5 linked regions of the Danio rerio genome follow. The protein of the gene in region 3 purifies or fractionates together with the protein of the main gene of each other region. This does not show direct contact. Links are inferred from orthologs where the notes say so. Each region holds a gene or a part of one and is shown on either strand. Other genes may lie near its edges. The genes, in order: smarca2, smarca4a, ss18, bicra and arid1b.

The links.
Region 1: the proteins of ss18 (region 3) and smarca2 purify together in Homo sapiens (affinity purification with mass spectrometry; 6 studies listed by BioGRID and IntAct, counting the BioPlex papers as one, with this or other methods). This does not show direct contact. The link is inferred for Danio rerio from reciprocal best matches to the Homo sapiens genes SS18 and SMARCA2.
Region 2: the proteins of ss18 (region 3) and smarca4a purify together in Homo sapiens (affinity purification with mass spectrometry; 8 studies listed by BioGRID and IntAct, counting the BioPlex papers as one, with this or other methods). This does not show direct contact. The link is inferred for Danio rerio from reciprocal best matches to the Homo sapiens genes SS18 and SMARCA4.
Region 4: the proteins of ss18 (region 3) and bicra purify together in Homo sapiens (affinity purification with mass spectrometry; 3 studies listed by BioGRID and IntAct, counting the BioPlex papers as one, with this or other methods). This does not show direct contact. The link is inferred for Danio rerio from reciprocal best matches to the Homo sapiens genes SS18 and BICRA.
Region 5: the proteins of ss18 (region 3) and arid1b purify together in Homo sapiens (affinity purification with mass spectrometry; 4 studies listed by BioGRID and IntAct, counting the BioPlex papers as one, with this or other methods). This does not show direct contact. The link is inferred for Danio rerio from reciprocal best matches to the Homo sapiens genes SS18 and ARID1B.

The regions. Positions count from the first base shown.
Region 1 is NC_133180.1:46,020,021-46,024,197, reverse strand, and holds the start of smarca2 (probable global transcription activator SNF2L2), read right to left. Parts: upstream 2,808-4,177; 5' UTR 2,625-2,807; intron 2,481-2,624; exon of another isoform or gene 2,401-2,480; intron 804-2,400; 5' UTR 789-803; coding exon 564-788; intron 1-563. UniProt on the Homo sapiens protein: ATPase involved in transcriptional activation and repression of select genes by chromatin remodeling (alteration of DNA-nucleosome topology).
Region 2 is NC_133178.1:18,061,078-18,064,593, forward strand, and holds part of smarca4a (SWI/SNF related BAF chromatin remodeling complex subunit ATPase 4a), read left to right. Parts: intron 1-467; coding exon 468-569; intron 570-1,618; coding exon 1,619-1,754; intron 1,755-2,271; coding exon 2,272-2,408; intron 2,409-3,516. UniProt on the Homo sapiens protein: ATPase involved in transcriptional activation and repression of select genes by chromatin remodeling (alteration of DNA-nucleosome topology).
Region 3 is NC_133177.1:1,537,965-1,542,125, forward strand, and holds the start of ss18 (protein SSXT), read right to left. Parts: upstream 2,806-4,161; 5' UTR 2,680-2,805; coding exon 2,611-2,679; intron 1-2,610. UniProt on the Homo sapiens protein: Appears to function synergistically with RBM14 as a transcriptional coactivator. Isoform 1 and isoform 2 function in nuclear receptor coactivation. Isoform 1 and isoform 2 function in general transcriptional coactivation.
Region 4 is NC_133193.1:47,589,653-47,593,923, reverse strand, and holds the start of bicra (BRD4-interacting chromatin-remodeling complex-associated protein), read right to left. Parts: upstream 2,809-4,271; 5' UTR 2,751-2,808; intron 1,229-2,750; 5' UTR 1,224-1,228; coding exon 1,183-1,223; intron 685-1,182; coding exon 639-684; intron 152-638; coding exon 86-151; intron 1-85. UniProt on the Homo sapiens protein: Component of SWI/SNF chromatin remodeling subcomplex GBAF that carries out key enzymatic activities, changing chromatin structure by altering DNA-histone contacts within a nucleosome in an ATP-dependent manner.
Region 5 is NC_133195.1:5,081,285-5,084,800, forward strand, and holds part of arid1b (AT-rich interactive domain-containing protein 1B), read right to left. Parts: intron 1,479-3,516; coding exon 1,351-1,478; intron 1-1,350. UniProt on the Homo sapiens protein: Involved in transcriptional activation and repression of select genes by chromatin remodeling (alteration of DNA-nucleosome topology).

The sequences.
Region 1 (4,177 bases), on a different chromosome or scaffold from region 3:
TTTTTGTTGCATTTACATAGTTTTGACCACTAGGTGCCGCTAACATGCGCTGTTTTCAATGCTTTTTATATTTATTTTAGTTTTTTATTATTAATATTAATAACAGGATACAGAAAACATTAATTTGTACTAATATTGTGTGACCTGAAAACAAATGATACATATTCATTGTACAGCTAGTTACATAAATGTCATAAAGGATAAGAAATAAAATCAATACATCAAAGAAAAACTAATATTTAATATAAAAAATAAAAAATAAAACAAAAGAAATAAAACAATATACATCTCAAACCATAAGTAAATTATTAAGAGTGTTAGGTATACAAAAAAGATCTGATCATTTAAAAGTAATGCTTATAATGATAATATTATTTTTCAGCAGTTCAGTTGTTTTGGCAGCTTTCTTATTTAACGACAGGCAGACAGATTCATATTAGTTTCAGTTCAATACAAAATGTTCAATAATTAGGCATACGCTCAATCATTTCTGTTTTGAATGCTTCAAAAAGGCGAATCATTTAGAGAAGCAACTGGTTGAATCGTTTTGAATTTTCTTCTACCTTATGCATTGGGTGCATTTCTTGTGAGTATTCTCCTGCTCCTTGGCCCTGCATTGTATGTGGGACACTCGGAGGTCCTGGACTGGGGCCCATCATGCTGTGTACAGAGCCAGGAGAAGGACCAGGTCCAGGGCTCGGTCCTAGGATGGGGCCCGGAGACAGGCCAGCACCCGGTGAGGGACCAGCATGGGACATCCCAACAGGTGGCTCATTGGGGGTGGCCATCTATCAGCTGAGAAGCTGTGAGAGGAATTGACAAAAGTTTAAAGATAATATAAATGAAGCCTTTCCTACCGTATTCTTCAATATTTGAGTAAAATTACGTCTGTGGTTATAAGGTATTAGGTAAACATCAGAAGTTACAGTATCATCAGATTAAAATTGCCACAAACTTTATTTTACCCATGAACTGACAATATGAAGAAATAAGAAAATATGAAGAAGAAGAAAAAAGATGGGTCTATTGGGTTTTTGTCATGCCTGCACTACATTGCTTGGCACCCCAAATGACAGCATTTTCAAGCCAAATGCATCTTATGAAAAGGTTCACTGTAAATTGATCATAAAACTTCATATAAATGCAAGTTATAGGAGCACAAACATTAATAAACTAAAATGCATTTAAGATTATATTTATTATTAATAAATATTACCTATTCAGAAATAATCCGACATGTATAACTTGTTTTAATACATAGAAATATGCATTGTTCTCTTTTAAAATAAAAAGCAACACGCCAGAAGAAACTGCATTACACTCTGCTGTGACTTCTTGCATCATTATATATAAATAACCTGAAACCAAGTTCTGTCATAATACTGAAATGTGTGCAATACATTTTTGATAGTTCAGGGTCCAGATTTTTTTTAAAAACAAATTTCCCCCTGCTTCAAATAATTTAGAACAATTATCAATTATTTTAAGCTATTGTTAAATATTTTACTCCTAACATTGCATTGTTTCATATTACTTTGCATAAGTTTCTTAAGCATGTTGCTTGCTGAAAAAAACAAGCAATTAATTTGCTCTGTAAAACTATCTTATATATAAATTAGCATTAATAATTATTAGATAAACATTTGACTCCCATGTGAGTGCATCATCATCATTACTATAGTAATTATTATTATTACTATTATTATTATTAGCCTATTATGACCTCACCCACTCAGATAAAGGAAACATACATTAAATTGAGTGATTTTGACTTAATAAGTTGCATTGTTTCCTAGCACTGCTTTATTGTTGTTTCTACTATGAAGTAAAAGACAACACGGTAGACCAAAACTTTGACAGGGTTATTTGCATAACTATAACCCGCGCTGTGCTCAGACACGCCCCTCAAGCGGCACTTCTGGAATGAAAATACAGAATCACAAGCCACCAGTATGACAGTAAAGAGTAAAACATTGCAGAGGGTAAGATAATAACACACTTTTATCAAGAAAATGCCCTCTAACATTTAATTACAGACCTTATTTAAAATTACAGTAATTATTCGCGTCTCTATGAACCAACAAGAGTTCATTCACGCAGATCAGCCCAGGCTAAAGACCTGAATAAACAACTAACGTTATTCTGCTGTTGAATGTACAAATGCATTCGTGCAGGCCTATGTTTAGTGTTCAGAGCATGATGACTAAAACTTTAAATAGAGCCTAATTAGGAAGAGTCGCTGTTAACGGTGATATCACACGCAAAAGGCCTATTTTAAAAAGAAGCAATGCAGTGATAGCGGGGTGTTATTTGGAGAGAGTTGCTGTGATCGGATCATGGCTTCCTCGACCTGCTGTCATGACTGTCTCCCCTCACGCCATTGCAGTTTCCTGAAATCTCAAACTTTCTGGGACCTTCCCATCACAGCGCGCCACCAACGCACATTCACAGCAGCTTTTCTGTTTCGTTGGATTACGAAGGTATTTTTCTTGCATTCATAGACGAGTCATTTACTCGCCTGCTTTTATGCTGTCAAAGTTAATAGCAAGCAAGCTTATTTAGCCCCCCGTCTGATATAACAGCTCGCTAACCGTCTGTACAGTTATGTTAGCATGCTAGCTTACCACATTTTATCAGTAAAATGCCCAAAATGCTGCCCGCTGACATATATACATTAGTATAAATGTCCAAGCAAAGAGTATTTAAACCTAATTACCTTCTGCGAGGTAAACAACACAATAAAAGGTCTAGCACATTATTTCAGCTTCAGAAATATGACTGCCATATGTTGATCCCCTCCCCCTTCTGTTTTGCTGACAAGTTGAAGTCCGCGTTTTTTAGTGTTTTCTTATTTCTGATTGGCTGAGAGAGCAGGAAATGCAGTCGCCTCTGTCGTGTGATTGGCTGAAGAACACGTCTATCATTTAGTGATATATTTGGGGGTGGAGGCTGGCGGATACATAACTTTCACTTCACACAACGACGAACGTGCTGGAACTTTCGTCTGTCCGCCAGGGCGTTTAGGGACAAACTCTTCTATATGCTCTCGCGTTCACACACAACGCACAGAATGGGCTTTATTCATACTTTTTTGTGTCCGCGCGTATCTTTTAGAAAGACGCTTTGTTTTATGTTTCGATATTATTGGGAAAATTACATCCATAGCAAATGCATGTGTTGTGTAAGCAGCATGTTACTGTTTGCTACAAAGAGGAAAATGCTTTTAGTTTTCGATGTAAAACCAAGTGTGATGTATTACATTGTATATTTACATTAATTATAATTTAAATGTTAAATTAAATATTTAATGTATAATATACATTTAATTTTTTACAATTAAATTGCTCGTTTGAGCCGAAGTTTGACTCCCATAAGAAATAATAACTTCACGGCTTCTGATTGGTTTAGTCATAGGGGGAATGCTACCAGCTTGGTCCAAATCTTTAAAGACCACCCAACCCTAACAATTTTAAACTTTAAAAGCCTCCTTAGTAAAATATTTAAATGATCATTTGTATGATTATCATGTATTCTGGGGAACAAGATGAAAAACTACAGGAAGAAGAAAAACTCCTTGTTTTTTATTCATGTTGTTAAGTTGTATATTTAAATGATTTTTGTTTGATTTAATGTGAGTCGAAGACGATTTTCAAGCAAAAAAAATAATAAATAAGTGTAGTAATGTAATACTTCCATTTAATGTGAATTATTTAATTATTTCTGAGCAATAAATTAATAATAAATAAAGTAACCGTTATAATAATATGACATATTTTATATCATTATTTAAAGAATAAACAGTTTTTAAAATTTTTTACATATACAGCCTTTTTAGACCAAGGATAATTTAATTTGATGCCATATGAACTGTATACACGGACTGTTAAATGAACCCAATGGGGCTTCAAATACTAGGAATACTTCATTATTTAATTATTTAATATTTCATTATTATTATTTTAAATGTGTATACTTTGCTACAATCTGTCAAGCAATATTTTACACATTTTATCAGCAAGAAGTTTTTTTAAATAATTTAAAATGTATTAAGATAAAATATAATATAGTATAATGTAATAAAATAATATAATATAGCCTAATATAATATAATATAATATAATATAATAAAACACAAAATAATATATTATAGCCAATTATAATATAATAAAATAAAATA
Region 2 (3,516 bases), on a different chromosome or scaffold from region 3:
TGAGAACTCTGGATGTTTCATTATGTAGTATTTTCTGATTTTTATTTAGATTTTAAACCTGAAAGGACAATTCTGACAATGTTTTAGGGTGTAAATCAACTCTGATTTATTCAATTATTGCATTAATAGAGTTATAATACGAACGCTTTTCATGAATTGGTTAATGAATGCAACAAAATATTTGGTCACACTTTATTTTGAGGGTCTGTTTGTTGAATTTAAGTTACATTGCATCTACATGCCAACTAATTCTCATCAAATAAGTACACTGTTAGGTTGGGGTTAGTGCAAGTTGACATGTACTTGCAAAGTTTCTGATAGTCAGTTAAATGTCTGTTGAAGGAGCAGTATCAGCAGATATTAAGCAGACAGTTTACTAATACTTAATTGGACCATCAAAATAAAGTGTTACCATATATGTGTGAATAAACATTTCAGTGTTAAATCCTTCTCTCTGCTGTACACAGGAGCGCATCAGGAGTCACAAGTACCGCAGTCTGAATGACCTAGAGAAGGACGTTATGCTGCTGTGTCAGAACGCTCAGACCTTCAACCTGGAGGGATCTTTGGTAATGTTCATCATACTCTTTAAGCCACAATCTTATTAAACACCCATCAAAAATACCAATTCGACCAAGTTTATTGTCTTTGTGCAAAAAAACTGATGTTTTTTGTGTAAAAAGATGAAAAATGTGTAAGTGTGTAACTGTCTTTCACACTGAAAAAGTTTGCTCTGGCCACCCTGGCGACAACGCTGTCAAAAATTTACAGATTAATATTTTTCTGATCCCATAACATAACCATTAATAGTTGTTTTGGAAGATTTAAAAAGATGTTTACCGCTCCCCCAGTGAGGGCTTAAAAATTTGCTACACTGATCTCGTATTTAGAGGGGCTATCACAGTATATCAGCCGATCAGTTATTCCCGCATAAAAAAATCTTGTTTTATATTATGAAAATGAACTTGTGTCATAGCTCACTGCTAGAAAATTGACTTGATTTCAACTCTCTTTGGCGGCCGCACTAGCGAAGATGTGCAACCGCTGGTTCCCATTGAAAATGAATGACTTCCGGCTACTTTTTTACGCTTTTTGTGTGCTTTCGGCTATTTTTCTGCTTTCGATGTGAATGCGCAGTAAAAAAAAAAAAAAAAAAAAGAAGTATTGTGTTAAGTATATCTGTTTTTGTACACTTTATTTTTTAGGTTTTCCACATTTTAAAATGTTTGTAACTTAATTTTTTTTTATAATAATTCCTTCATCAAAACACATTGTAAAAAATGCTGTGTTCAACACAATTACATGATGTTGTGTCAACAAAAATCGATTACTTAACCTAATAGAATTTACAAAAGTGGATTGAATATAAAACAATTAAGTTGTCTAAACTCAACTCGTTTTAAATAATTAGTTTGTCAATTTTTAAATGCATAAAACTTTAATTGACATTAATTTTCATCTTTAGTTGTTGTATTTAAGCTAAACATAATTGAATATGGCGCAATAGGTTATAATATAATGTTTTATATAAATGTTTTTTCCATCTACTGCATCAGTGTCTTTAAATTGGTACAAGCAACCTAAAATCATTAAATGAGTTGAGGGTTTGACATTTCAGATCTACGAGGACTCTATCGTGCTGCAGTCTGTGTTCACCAGCGTGCGGCAGAAGATCGAGAAAGAGGAGGAAGAGAGTGAGGGAGATGACAGCGAGGAGGAAGAGGATGATGTCGATGAAGGATCCGAGTCTGAATGTAAGTTGACAATAATGGTCTCCATTCACCAAATTGTTATGACTCATTTCAGTCATCAGCATTTAAAATTTAAATGGTATGAACATTTGAATTTATTTATGTATGTATCATATCATCTTTGCATCAAATTACAAAAAACAAATTACTGCTTGTGCGAGGCATTTGTAAAACAGTGTATGGGCAGGACAGTAAATGTTCTCTCCTGGTTGCCGTTATCGATCTCACACTATTTGTTTCCTATTTCTGAAAGTCTTGCCAAAACCATCTGGGAGTTTTGCTTTCATTTTTTTCAGCAAGTAGGATTGTAAAAAAAAGATTTGCTGTACTCTCGTATTCACTGCGCTCTACGTTTACTCCACTATAAAGACTTCCGCTACTGAGAAACCCAGACAAGTGAAAAGGGTCCATACTGCTACATGAATGAATCCAAATATTATCTGATTACAGTATAAAACACTTACAACTCTAATTTATATTAAGCCCAATATTAAAATATTTGTTTGTGTATATATTACAGCTCGTTCAGTGAAGGTGAAGATAAAGTTGAGTAGAAAGGACAAGGCGGAGAGAGGAAAAGGACGACGCCGAACCGGACGCAGCTCGCGGCCTAAACCTGTTGTTAGTGATGACGACAGTGAGGAAGACCAGGAAGAGGTACTTGAGAATAATCAATGATGATGATGATTATTATTACTGTTATTATTAATATCATTAATATTACTACTACTAATAATAATAATGATAATAAAGGAAAATATAATCTACATACAATACAAAAGTAAACATTAGTTTCCTTCTTTCTATTTTTGTTTTAACCCAAGCCCTACCCCAAGAGCTGAACAAGAATAATCAATGAAGAATAATTAAACTTAAAGGGAAAAAGTACACACACACACACACACGCACACACACACACACACACACACACACACACACACACACAAGTAACTAAATTTGCATTCAATTCAATGAAGAAAATGTTTTGACTCTTTAACTGCTCTAGCTCTTCAACCCCTTAACTCTTAGAGTTCACACCTGAAATTATGACGTATACGTATTAAATGCGGTTTGTTTGAAGTTTTTTATGAGGTTTCTTTTAAATTTGTTATAAGGCAGTGGTGCTCAACCCTGTTCCTAGAGATCGACCTTCCTGCAAAGTTCAGCTCCAACCCTGTTCAAACACACCTGAACCAGTTAATTAGGACCTGAACAGCACTTGATAATTATAGGCAGGTGTGTTTAATATAGGTCTCTAGGAACAGGGTTAGTTACGCCTGTTATAAGGTTTTGACCATTTAAAAAAAAGGTCTGTGTTCTAGGTAGTTAATAAGTTGCACTACTGTTATTAAAAGACATTTACACAGCTTCTTTTGTGAAAATAAATTGTTACTCTAATGTTTTTGAAACAAACTTATATTGTTAAAACACTGTTTAACATTTGTTCACTACTGTTTTTAACATGAGGACACTGTTACACTATAAAAAAAAAAAAAAGTTTTGCACATCTGGTGACACGGTGGCACATTTGCCTCATAGCAAGAAGGTCGCTGGTTCGACTCCTTGCCTAGGCCAGTTGTCATTTCAGTGTGGAGTTTGCATGTTCTCCCCTTGTTGGCGTGGGTTTTCTCCATGTGCTCCGGTTTACCCCACAGTCCAAAGACATGCGCTATAGGTGAAATGAATAAACTAAATTGGCTCATACACTCATAGTGTATGAGTGTCTGTGTAAATGAGTGTCTATGGGTGTTTCCCAGTAGTGGGT
Region 3 (4,161 bases):
CATACACAGTGACTCTCTAATGTTATTGATATATAGGTACACTATATATTTCAGTTTGCAAGGGCTGCACGATATTAGAAAAGTCAGATAATGCGATATTTTGTTTTGCTGTGATATACATTGCCATAAGAAATATAATTTTACCACATGATTTGAATAACCCATTTCTTAATTTAGATCAACTGGGATTATCAAGTACATCTGCATAAATATAATAAATTACAAGCATATATAATTAATTAAATAAATTAACAAACAGTGCTTTATGGCTTTCTGTGGAGTCAAGCACAGAAATTGAACAGTTATCAAAGGTAAAATAACAACATCTTTGTCTTTTCATCTTCATCTTTAATAAATAATCGAATCCTGCAATGTGACTATTGGGGATGCACACATTGCGATATTGATGCTCAAACGATATATTGTTCACCAATAAATTTATTTATTTAAAATATATATATATATATTTAAATATAAGACACATGTTTTTGGTCATTTATTGGTTTAAACCAAAATGTTTTTCCATGCAAAGCTTTCGTGTGACTTGTTTGTCAGTTTTAGCCAATTTATTTTTGGTACCAATGCTTTATACTATTGCAGACTGAAGGATGATAATTGTATTTATTTTTCTAAATCATTTATTTATATCCAATATGACTTATTTTCCTCAGGGCCGTTATACAAATGCATATACAAATGAATTATAATCATAAAAGAGGGAATTAGTTAAATATTGACTTGAATTAATGACTAAGAATGTCTATGGAGGTAAAGTTGGTTTTATATTCGGATATTCAGACATTCTCCTTGATCTGATTATATAATTTCAGAAAAGTATTCTCTGAAAATTGTAAAAAGGGAAATCAGATTAGCAGCAAATGACTATCAAAGAACAACATTGTTCACAGTGAATTACATAGTGTTAATGTTGTTTAGAAGTCATACATGCGTGCCAATTCCGATCGAATATTTAATGTAACATGGTAAACAATATAGACTTCTAAATGAACGAATGTGCGAATATAAAACCAACTTTACCTCTATAGCATGTCTTATATTATTATAAAAACTGAATATATTTCAGAGTGATTGTATAGTGATGTTAATCTCCAGGACCTGATTGAAAGCTAATTTAAAGAAACAAATTCACCAAAAGAAAAACACCAAAACAACTGCAGCAGAGAATATTATAAATAGCTAAATATTCAAAATAAATAATTTCCACAGAAGCTACGAAACAGTTGTTTAAAAAAAATCATTAATGACAACACTTTTATTATAATAAAATCATGAATAATCGTTATATCTTTGCCATAACAAAAATCTGGTTAATAAACTGTTTAATACTACTTATTATTGTATGCCATGGCGATATATGTTTTTTTCTTTCTTTGGATAAGGACAATATCGAAATATCTATAGTTGAAGTCAGAATTATTAACCCCCCTGAATTGTTAGACCGCTTGTTTGTTTTTTCCCCAATTTCTGTTTAACGGAGATTTTTTCAGCACATTTTTAAACATATTAGTTTTAATAACTTATTTCTAATAATAGATTTATTTTATCTTTGCCATGATGACAGTAAATAATATTTTACTAGATATTTTTCAAGACACTTCTATAAAGCTTAAAGTGACATTTAAAGGCTTAACGAGGTTAATTAGTGTAACTAGGCAGGTTAGGGTAATAAGTTATTGTATAATGATGGTTTGTTCTTTAGACTTTCGAAAGAAAATATAGCTTAATGGGGTTAACGTTAATAATTTTACCCCTAATATGGTGTTTAAAAAATGGCTTTTATTCTAGCCGAAATAAAACAAATAAGACTTTTTCCAGAAGAAAAAACATTTTCAGACAAACTGTAAAAAATTTCCTTGCTCTGTTGAACTTCATTTAGGAAATATTTAAAGAAGAAAAACATTAAAATGGGGGCTAATAATTCTGACTTCTACTGTATATCTCCATCAGACCTGAGTAACAGAAATCACTAAACAAATCAACAAATCTAATTAAAACTTATGCATTAACCTTGAATAATTTTATAAGACATCAGGAATGAAAAATCTGCTAACTTACACATCTAACGTGTCAAAAATAACGTTTGGCTTGTCGAATAAGACATGACTGAAAATGACCAAATCAGACATTGTTCATCAATAAATCAGATATTAGCATAACGTTACACGCTAGTTCGTAACGAAATGAATTTCATCACAAAATCAAATATAAATCGACGATATCTTTAAAAATAAATCGACGACAGTGTTATTGTCAAGTGAACATGTACGTTGTGATGCTTGTACACAATCCTCCATTGTGATTCATCAGACAGCCGAGTAGTAACGTTAGCGGCTAACAAAGACACAGCAGAACCGAGCAGATTTCAACAGCTTTAAAAACCCCGGACCAAAAAACACAAAATCAGCCCATTTTACGCTGGTATTCGGTTATGTAGGAGCTGTTAAATACGACGACAAATGTCACCTTATAAGCGTCTTGTTGGTGATGTTATGCTAGTGTTGGCGGGAGAGATGTTGCAGCTAACTAGCCTAACGCAAATTTTCCGTTTCCAGTTTTCGCTCGGCTTGACGAACTAATAAATGAGGTTACCTTCTGTATCCCGGCAGGCGTTATATCGCCCTTGGCACGCTGCCGGTGCGGTGCAAAAGCCACAGACATTGCTTGTTTCTGGTTAATTCAGATTACCGCTACGGTGGACACAAACACACTGACCGAGAACAAACGCGCTGAGCTGCGAAATCAGAATCAACCAACGCGCACGGAGCACACAGGGGAGCCTCGCATACACCAAATCACACTCAAGACAAGAAATAAAGAAGACCTGCTGGTAGCAAAATGTCTGTTTACATATTTAAACTCTGTTATTAATCATTACACAGTGTGAATGGGCGCAGTGTCCAGATTAATATAATTTATAAGAGCTACAAATCCAAAGCACACCTCTTTTTCTTAAAAATGGTTTGCCCCTAAGGGTCAGAGAAGGGGGAATTCCAAACAGCAGCATTTTGTGCACTGAGTACGTGCGCGTTTCCGTTGCACATGCAATGCGCAAAACGCCGTCGTGTGTGGAGTGTGCACATATGTTATACTTTAATTGACTTGCTATATTCATATGCGCAAAAAATTGAAGCAAATTTAGGAAATACCAAAACGCCATTTTCATATGCGCAAGTACTTGCATTTAATTTAAATTCAATAAATTATGCAATATATTATGACGAGCGGAATGAAAATCACTGCTTTACAACATGATCCGCTTTAAATGGCTGCTTCAGCATCCTAAATATTTAAATTAATATCTTCTTTAGTATTTACCTGCATCTAAATTGTAAGACTAAATGTAATAGCCAATTCAAAAGCATGTTGCAGATGCAGAGCCTGACATATAGGTGGCATTTTTATTTACATTCACAGTTAAGAAAACTATTTGTGCACCATTTGCTATTGTGCACAGTACTGTTATTTAAATGACCGGTCCTTTTGCATTTACAATTGTAAGAGAAAGTCGTTTATTTTCAAGAAAGCTCAACTGTCAGGGTCACACCTATCAGCAGGTGGCAGTATCGCACAGCAGGTAAACATTTTTGGTCTGCAATCTGCATTTGACAAGAGGAAAACAAATTTGCAGCTCAACATTTTGTAATAATAGCTTGCAGCACAACTTTAGATTTAATCTTAAACTGGAAGTATAAATATAAATATAAATATATATATATATATATATATATATATATATATATATATATATATATATATATATATATATATATATATATATAAATATATATATATATATATATATATAAATATATATATATATATATATATATATATATATATATATATATATATATATATATATATATATATATATATATAATCATTAGAATGATTATATATATAGTGTTAGTGTTCCGTCAGCCAATGGTATTTGGAGATCACAAGCTCAATGTGGAATGAGACCTGTAAGATCTCCAGACGTTCTTATGAAATTTATTGTATAACTGACAAGGTAAAAGAAGTAACATTCAAAACTGTACACTGTATATGTCCAGCTAAAGATGTTTTAGACAGATTTAATTTGAACATTGCTTATTCCTGTGATTATTGTTGCATGGAAAATGCATCTGTTGTCCTTAT
Region 4 (4,271 bases), on a different chromosome or scaffold from region 3:
GATTTGGATGGTGGGGTTGAGGAGCACATGCTACGAAAAAAAGGATGGAGCCAGGAGGTTGGCGCAAATGGGGGATTTTACTCACCCCAGTGCTGGAGAAGAACGAGCTGGACGGGTCACCTGAGCCATCCAATAGGTCATCAGTGTCCAGCTACAGACAGATATACCCAGGATAGGACAGGCAGAAATCACCACAGCACACAGACAGGCGTGTGAAAGCGACAGGGAGAAGACGCACAAGGGGCAAATAGGCAGACAAAGAGGAAAAGGCAAGGGAAGAGAAAAGTGAGGACAGTGCACCAATCAACCAGAACAAAATGCAGGCACAACCAAGTTAAAAAGCCAAGCAAACAGGAAAGAAAACAGGAGTCAAAAGACAGGAAAATTAGATTAGTATGTCATATACGTGAATTAACCAAAGAGGGAAAAAATCAGGATTGAAATAGAAATTAAGAGGAGCAATTATGTTCTAAAGAAAAGATCAATAAGCTTGACAACCCTTTTAGGGGAAGAAATGTAAAAATAACCCGGAAAGAATTAGAAGGATCAGGGAACTCTTGGTGGATGAGGGTGTTGTGTTTTTCTGTGATGTATCTGGGTTACATTATAAAAGTGTGCCCACCACTGGAAGTACTCACTTGTGTTTCTGATCCATGAAGAAAATCGTTGAGTGCTTGTGGGTCACTGTACAAGAAAGTTGTTATTTAGCTTGGTCTACAATGCAACAAAACAAGCTAATGACACGTTATCCTCTTGTTAAGTCATGACGTATCGATGATGTTTGCAATATTGTTTCCAGGTCCAAGCCGCTACTCATTTGAATTGAGAAAATATTAGCTTATAGCCACTTTTTAGTCCTATCTCATATTAAAGTGAATTTTATATAAAATCATAGTGTATACATCAGTCTCTGGGATTGCTGCATCACAGACACCAAAATTTTAACAATTTATAAAAAAATGTATCACTTTCTGGCCATCGGATTAGCCATGGACATATATATTGCGGTCATGATTTTCGAAAGTATTACATTGCTTAGTAAACATTTATTATTATCATTTGATAAGTCTCCCCAAACAGTTTGATATAGCACTTGGACCTGGAAGCCGCTTTGCGCGATGTCACACTTAACAAGTAGATAAACAGTTATTTGACATTTTTGAGGTAACATATTGAACTTACCAAATTACATCTAGCAAGCACCTGCCATCTTCATCATCCATGTCAACTACAGTTAAAAAACATCAATATAAAAAAAGTACATAAGCATTAGCCCCGCCAACATAGGTGAGTTTTCAGAATAAAACATCCAAACATTACACTTTGTAGTGAAATGTGGGTTGATTAACTCAGAGGAAATTAATATTTAGACAAACAGAATAAATTCGCAAACACAAAAAATATAATTACCTGGCAGTTTTGAATGCTACAATTTTCAGAGTAAATAAATATAATCAATATTGTTGAACAAAAAAAATAATGATGACATTATTAAATCAGACTATGCTAGCAAGTAAGTCTTTCAACATTGATAATTGTGTATAAACAATAATAATAATAAAGCAAATAAACAGAAAAAAACAACACTTTTGATAACATACTTACAATTAATAATTACTAATTGGTGTAGCCAATTATGTACCCATTTTGGTGTATCCTATTTAGGCCCAAAATTTTGTTTTTAGACAACATATTCGGATGATTGAACAAACTTATATTGAAATAGTGAGTCTTCCAAGAGAAACTACACAAATTAACACGAGTGAACATTTCCGTATCCATTGAAAGCATCAGCTGAACTTTCGTGCAGTCGTGTAGCGTCAGAGAAAGTGAGGGAAAAAGCGCGCGCATCACCTCACACTCTCTCAAACACAGAAAAATACCACAGGGTGTCAAATATCTCGATTTGCAGACACACAACCGCCTATTTTCAAGAATTAGTCAGACTTCGGAGAGTCGTTGCAGTGCTCAAGATCACAGTCTCGATCTAAACAAATCAAAACCACAAAATGAGGATGAGGTAGGCGGGGACGCCTCTAATGTTTGTTAGGGGGGAAAACAGTATCAGTGTAGATCACACCGACCATCATTGACAAATATCTGCGAAAGCTTCTCCTGTCAGACATCTGATTTATGTCATTTTGAAAGCATCACACATCAGAAGAGCACCACAGACATGAATGGACACTCCGGACCTGCAGGACACGGCGGTTATTTTTCACAATTCGCAAAGCTTTAACAGCTCTTTGCACTCCTTTAAAAGCAGAGGCTTTTATTTTCAACAAATATACAGATTTACCCGCACGGAGCGCCTTTAATTCGCCTTTTCACGCTCGTTCTGCAGCTGATTTGGTTAGCTGTTGCTAGCTAGCTTCCTAGCTGTAATATGTGCGTTTACAGACGCAATACGCACAAATCTGACAATAACTGACTGTAAACACGTAGTATTTAGGCCATACAATCGCATTCGCTGGAGCCACTTGACATAATTGATGAATATTTGGCGTTTGGGCTCTAATAGTCGCGATTGCGTAGCCTATCTTTATCCCTGCTAAATATGAGTTTATGTTGGAATACTCTTGGATCAGGGGGGTATGCTTGGGAATTCGCTGTAAAATCAACCTATTGAGCGACCTATGCAACTGGCCGGTTGTACGTCGCGGGAAACGCTGAGCTCTGCATGCGAGTGTTGCAGCGTTGCAATAGTTATAGAGAATTATAGAGAAATTGCTACATTGTATCAAACTCACCCGAGACGATAGAGGTGCAGGCGGCGCGGGGTCTCCAGTACGGCCCTGCACGGGCTCCGAGTCAGGACCCAAGCACAGCGCTCACAAGCAGGAAACAGAGGCCCGGCGCGATTGCCTGATTAATTAACAAACCACAGCGTTGTTTTGATTATCGAGGCTGCACGTACAGTATCATGCATCGTGCATCGTTATACGTTGTTTTAATATAAATGTTGAACATTGTGCTACACTAAAGTGGTATATGAGCTGTAGAGTAGATACACTGAGTATGAAGGAATGGAGTTCAACCTTCATATGAACCACATTACAACACAGAACAAGTAGTGTGTGTGTGTGTGTGTGTGTGTGTGTGTGTGTGTGTGTGTGTGTGTATAAATAGCAAATTAGAAAGTAATGCTTATATAATGACCAAGGATTATATCAGTGGTTGTCTGATTATTTATTTACTTTTTTACATTTTATTGATTATGTGTTGCTTAGACAACCTTTTACGAATCTGATCCAAAATAAAAAGGTAACTAATTTATTAAAAAAGGGTATATTTGCTTAAATGAAAGCGTTTGTTCATAATAGTGATTTTAAATTAAAATACATGGCATCTAGCTTTGTTCTCTTCAGTTTAACAGTATTTTTATTTGGATTATAACAACACTTTAACAAAAATTTAAGGAAAAGGGCATCAGAATATTTTTTTTCTTTTTTCAATTAAATTATAGTTAAATACTGTCAAGTTTTGTTGTTTACATTTGAACTCTTCAGTATATACTTAGAATAATTTAATATGAAACTACAAAATATAATACAAATGTTTAATATATCAAGTACACAGCAAAATGATATTTATATAATGTGCTTGAACTGTAGCACTACTTTTCCTTTCATTATTCACTTCATAATAGTAATTGATTAGTCGATTACGATTCCTATCAAAATATGCCAAAATAAAAAAGTAACTAATTAATTTTATTTTAAAAAGGTTTTAAAATTATTATTTAGCTTAGAATAAAATCATTTCTAATTTATAATATTTATTTTAAATAAAAATACATGACATCTAGCTATGTTCTCTTCGGTCTGTTCGGATTATAACAATGTACACGTAACAAAAATGGGGAAAAAATGTAATTCAAATGACATCAAATTCTTGTCTTCACCTTTTTTCAATTAAAATATTGTTTAACACTGTCAATTTTTGTTGTCTACAGTTTTGAGTATGCATGCTAATTAATTTAATATACAACACTACAATGTATAATATAACAAGTAAACTGCAAAAGAATATACATACAATGGGCTTGAACTGTAACACTACTTTTCCTTATTATTCACTTTGATTATTTAGATGATTAGTTATTGTTACAATTACTATCATAATGTGCCAAAACAAAAAACACAACTAATTAATAAAAAAGAGATTATTTTGCTTAAATAAAATCATTTCTTATTTAGGATAATAATTTTAAATGAAAGTAAATTACATCTAGCTTTGTTCTCTTCGGTTTAACAGTATTTTCGAAGGAA
Region 5 (3,516 bases), on a different chromosome or scaffold from region 3:
ACAGGAGATTCAGACCCTTAGTCCTGCACCATCCAGAGATGTGCACAACATCTCATCAACAGCCTCCAAACAAAGACACTGTATACTGTAACTGATCTCAAGCTGAACCGCATTAAGCACTTTTTTTCCTCAATAAATGCTGCCAAATCTATAATCTCACACTTTCTGAATTAAATTTTAGATTTAAATAATACCGTTATAATGTCATTACTTTATGGTATTTTACTCAATCAGGGGTGCATTACCAATATTAGCCAACTAAGATTGCAAATTTCATCATTACAAACATAGTTTGGCGATTCTGTTCTGATTCTCCATGAAGTTGGCGTGGACCAACGCACATTCTCACGTTCATTTCATCGTTAGTAAATCCAAACATGAGCGTGAAATCTGGCGTACGTTAGAGCTGCACGATTCTGGCTAAAATGAGAATAGCGATTTTTTTGCTTAAAATAAAGATCACGATTTTCTCACGATTCTGTAGATGTAAAATAAAGGTAAAGACAAACATATGGCACAACATCGATAATAATATTATGTGTGGGTCTACTGACTTCTATAAATAATTCTATTCTACTCATAATAACTCTGATGTTGAATTATTATGTTTGAGATATAGGCATGCAATCTGTCATATTAGACAATTTTATTCACTGGTAAAATCAGACATTTGCCATTATCAGATTATAGGTCACAAAACTGCAAGAAGTAAAGCATTTATTAACATACATAGTGTCCATTAGTATGTGCCTGAATAATAAGATATATAAACATCAATTTCAATAGTTCATTAATCATTTACTAACTCATTCTGAATGCTCTTAAAAACCTCCAACTACTCGTAAATACAAATGGTTTGTAAAAATAATGCAGTAATGAAAAATCAACCAGTCACAAATTATGAAAGTACAATTATTAAGCACATTATAAAAGTGGTTATAAGTCAAGAACACAGCATTTGCAGATGCAGTTATAAACTAAGATTGAATTAAAAATAATAAAAAAAAAATATAAAAAAAAAAAATATATATATATATATATATATATATATATATATATATATATATATATATATATATATATATATATAAAACAATCATATCAAGATTTAGTACTTTAGTATATAAAGATTTAATTACTTTATCTAAAGAAGTTGTTACTCCACAAGCTTTGCATTTTAACTAATGTGGTTCAGACTACAGATTTCCGACAGAGTTCGAGAAACTACATCGACTATACACTGTTTTTTTGTTTTTTATGTATGCTTTAAAAGCAACATTACACAAAAAATAAATTACATATAAAAAAGGTATAATAGGACCCTTTTAAATATTGTATTTTAAATCCTACCTGTGGGCATTGTGTTGTAGGAGGGACCTTGAGGGGTCATCCTGGCAGAGCTATTGCTCGGTGGAAGGCTGTAAGGCCCTCCGGGACCCATTCCAAGCATGTGGGAGCCACCTTGATACCCGGCTGGCCTATGGACGAAAAAAACACATAAGAACAAAAACACAAACAAAATGTAAAGGGTTCAATGGTAAGTTGTTAGTACACTTATTTTCATTTCTTCTTTCTTTCAGCTGCCAAGCAACACATGCAGAATCCGCAGAGAGAGAGAGTTAAAGGATTAATACACATGGGGAAAGAAACAGATTCCTGCATTGTTTGTAGTCTGTCTTCTCATAAATGAGACAGTAGTAGAATCTACATGTCTACTAAGGTTAGATGTCATGGCTTTTACATGTTTTCAACTATCAAATCGCAGCTTCCACTACGAACATCACCAATTATTAATTATTAAAATGTTGTTGCCAACAAAGCAGTTGCCGAGATTCACCTTTCAAGTTCCACAGATAAAAGTAAGAGCACACAGATTTGGAAAGACTCAAAGATTAAATAGGACTGTACATTTCCTTGTTTTGGGGTGAACTACTTCATATTTGGGTCAATCCACTAAATCTACACTTTTCTTACTTTTAGTTATTGTCTTGTATTTAGTCCAAAAATCATCAAAAATGCTTAAATCAAGAAGCATTTCTTTAGATAAGTAAAAAATATTGGGTCTCATTCACTAGCCATGAGTACGCACAAATAGGCCTGTCATGATATCTATTTTTTGTTGTACTGTACAGTGCATCCGGAAAGTATTGATGGTGCTTCACTTTTTCCACATTTTTTATGCTACAGCCTTATAAAAATATAGGTTAAATTCATTTTTTTAACATTCTACATACAATACCCCATAATGACAGTGTGAGAAAAGAGTTTTTGAAATTGTTGCACATTTATTACAAGTAAAAAAGCTGAAAAATCAGATGTACATCAGTATTCACAGCCGTTGCTCACTACTTTGTTGATGCACCTTTGGCAGCGATTACAGCCTCAAGTCTTTTTGAATATGATGCCACAAGCTTGGCACACCTGTCTTTGGGAATTTGTGCCCATTCCTCTTCGCAGTACCTCTCAAGCTCTATCAGGTTGGATGGAAAGCGACGGTGTACAGCCATTTTCAGATCTCTCCAGAGATGTTCAATAGGATTTAGGTCTGGGCTCTGGTTGGGCCACTTAAGGACATTCACTGAGTTGTTGTGAAGCCACTCCATTGGTATTTTGGCGGTGTGCTTTGGTCCATTGTCCTGCTGGAAGATGAACCGTCGTCCCAATCTGAGGTCAAGAGCACTCTAAAGCAGGTTTTCATGCAGGATGTCTCTGTACCTTGCTGCATTCATCTTTCCCTCTATCCTGATTAGTCTTCCAGTTCCTGCTGCTGAAAAACATCCCCACAGCATAATGCTGCCACCACCATGCTTCACTGTAGGAATGGTATTAGCCTGGTGATGAGCGATACCTGCTTTTCTCCAAACGTAACGCCTGGCATTCAAGAGTTCAATATTAGTCTCATCAGACCAGAGAGTTTTGTTTCTTATGGTCTGAGAGTCCTTTAGATGCCTTTTGGCAAATTCCAGGCGTTGAGTGGCTTCTGTCTGGCCACTCTACCATACAGGCCTGATTGGTGGACTGCTGCACAGATGGTTGTCCTTCTGTAAGGTTCTCCTCTCTCCACAGAAGAACGCTGGAGCTCAGACAGAGTGACCATCGGGTTATTGATCACCTCCCTGACTAAGGCCTTTCTCCTCCGATCACTCAGCTTAGATGGCCGGCCAGCTATAGGAAGAGTCCTGGTGGTTCCAAACATCTTCCACTTATAGATGATGGAGGTCGCTGTGCTCATTGGAACTTTCAGAGCAGCAGGAATTTCCCCGGACGGTCCTGTCTCAGAGGTCTACAGACAATTCCTTTGTCTTCATGCTTGGTTTGTGCTTTGACATGCACTGTCAACCCTGGGACCTTATATAGACAGGTGTATGCCTTTTCAAATCATGTCCAGTCAACTGAATTTACCACAGGTGAACTCAATTAAGCTGCTGAAACATCTCAAGAATGATCAGTGGAGACAGAATGTACCTGAGCTCAATTTAGAGCTTCACCGCAAAGGCTGTGAATACTGATGTACAT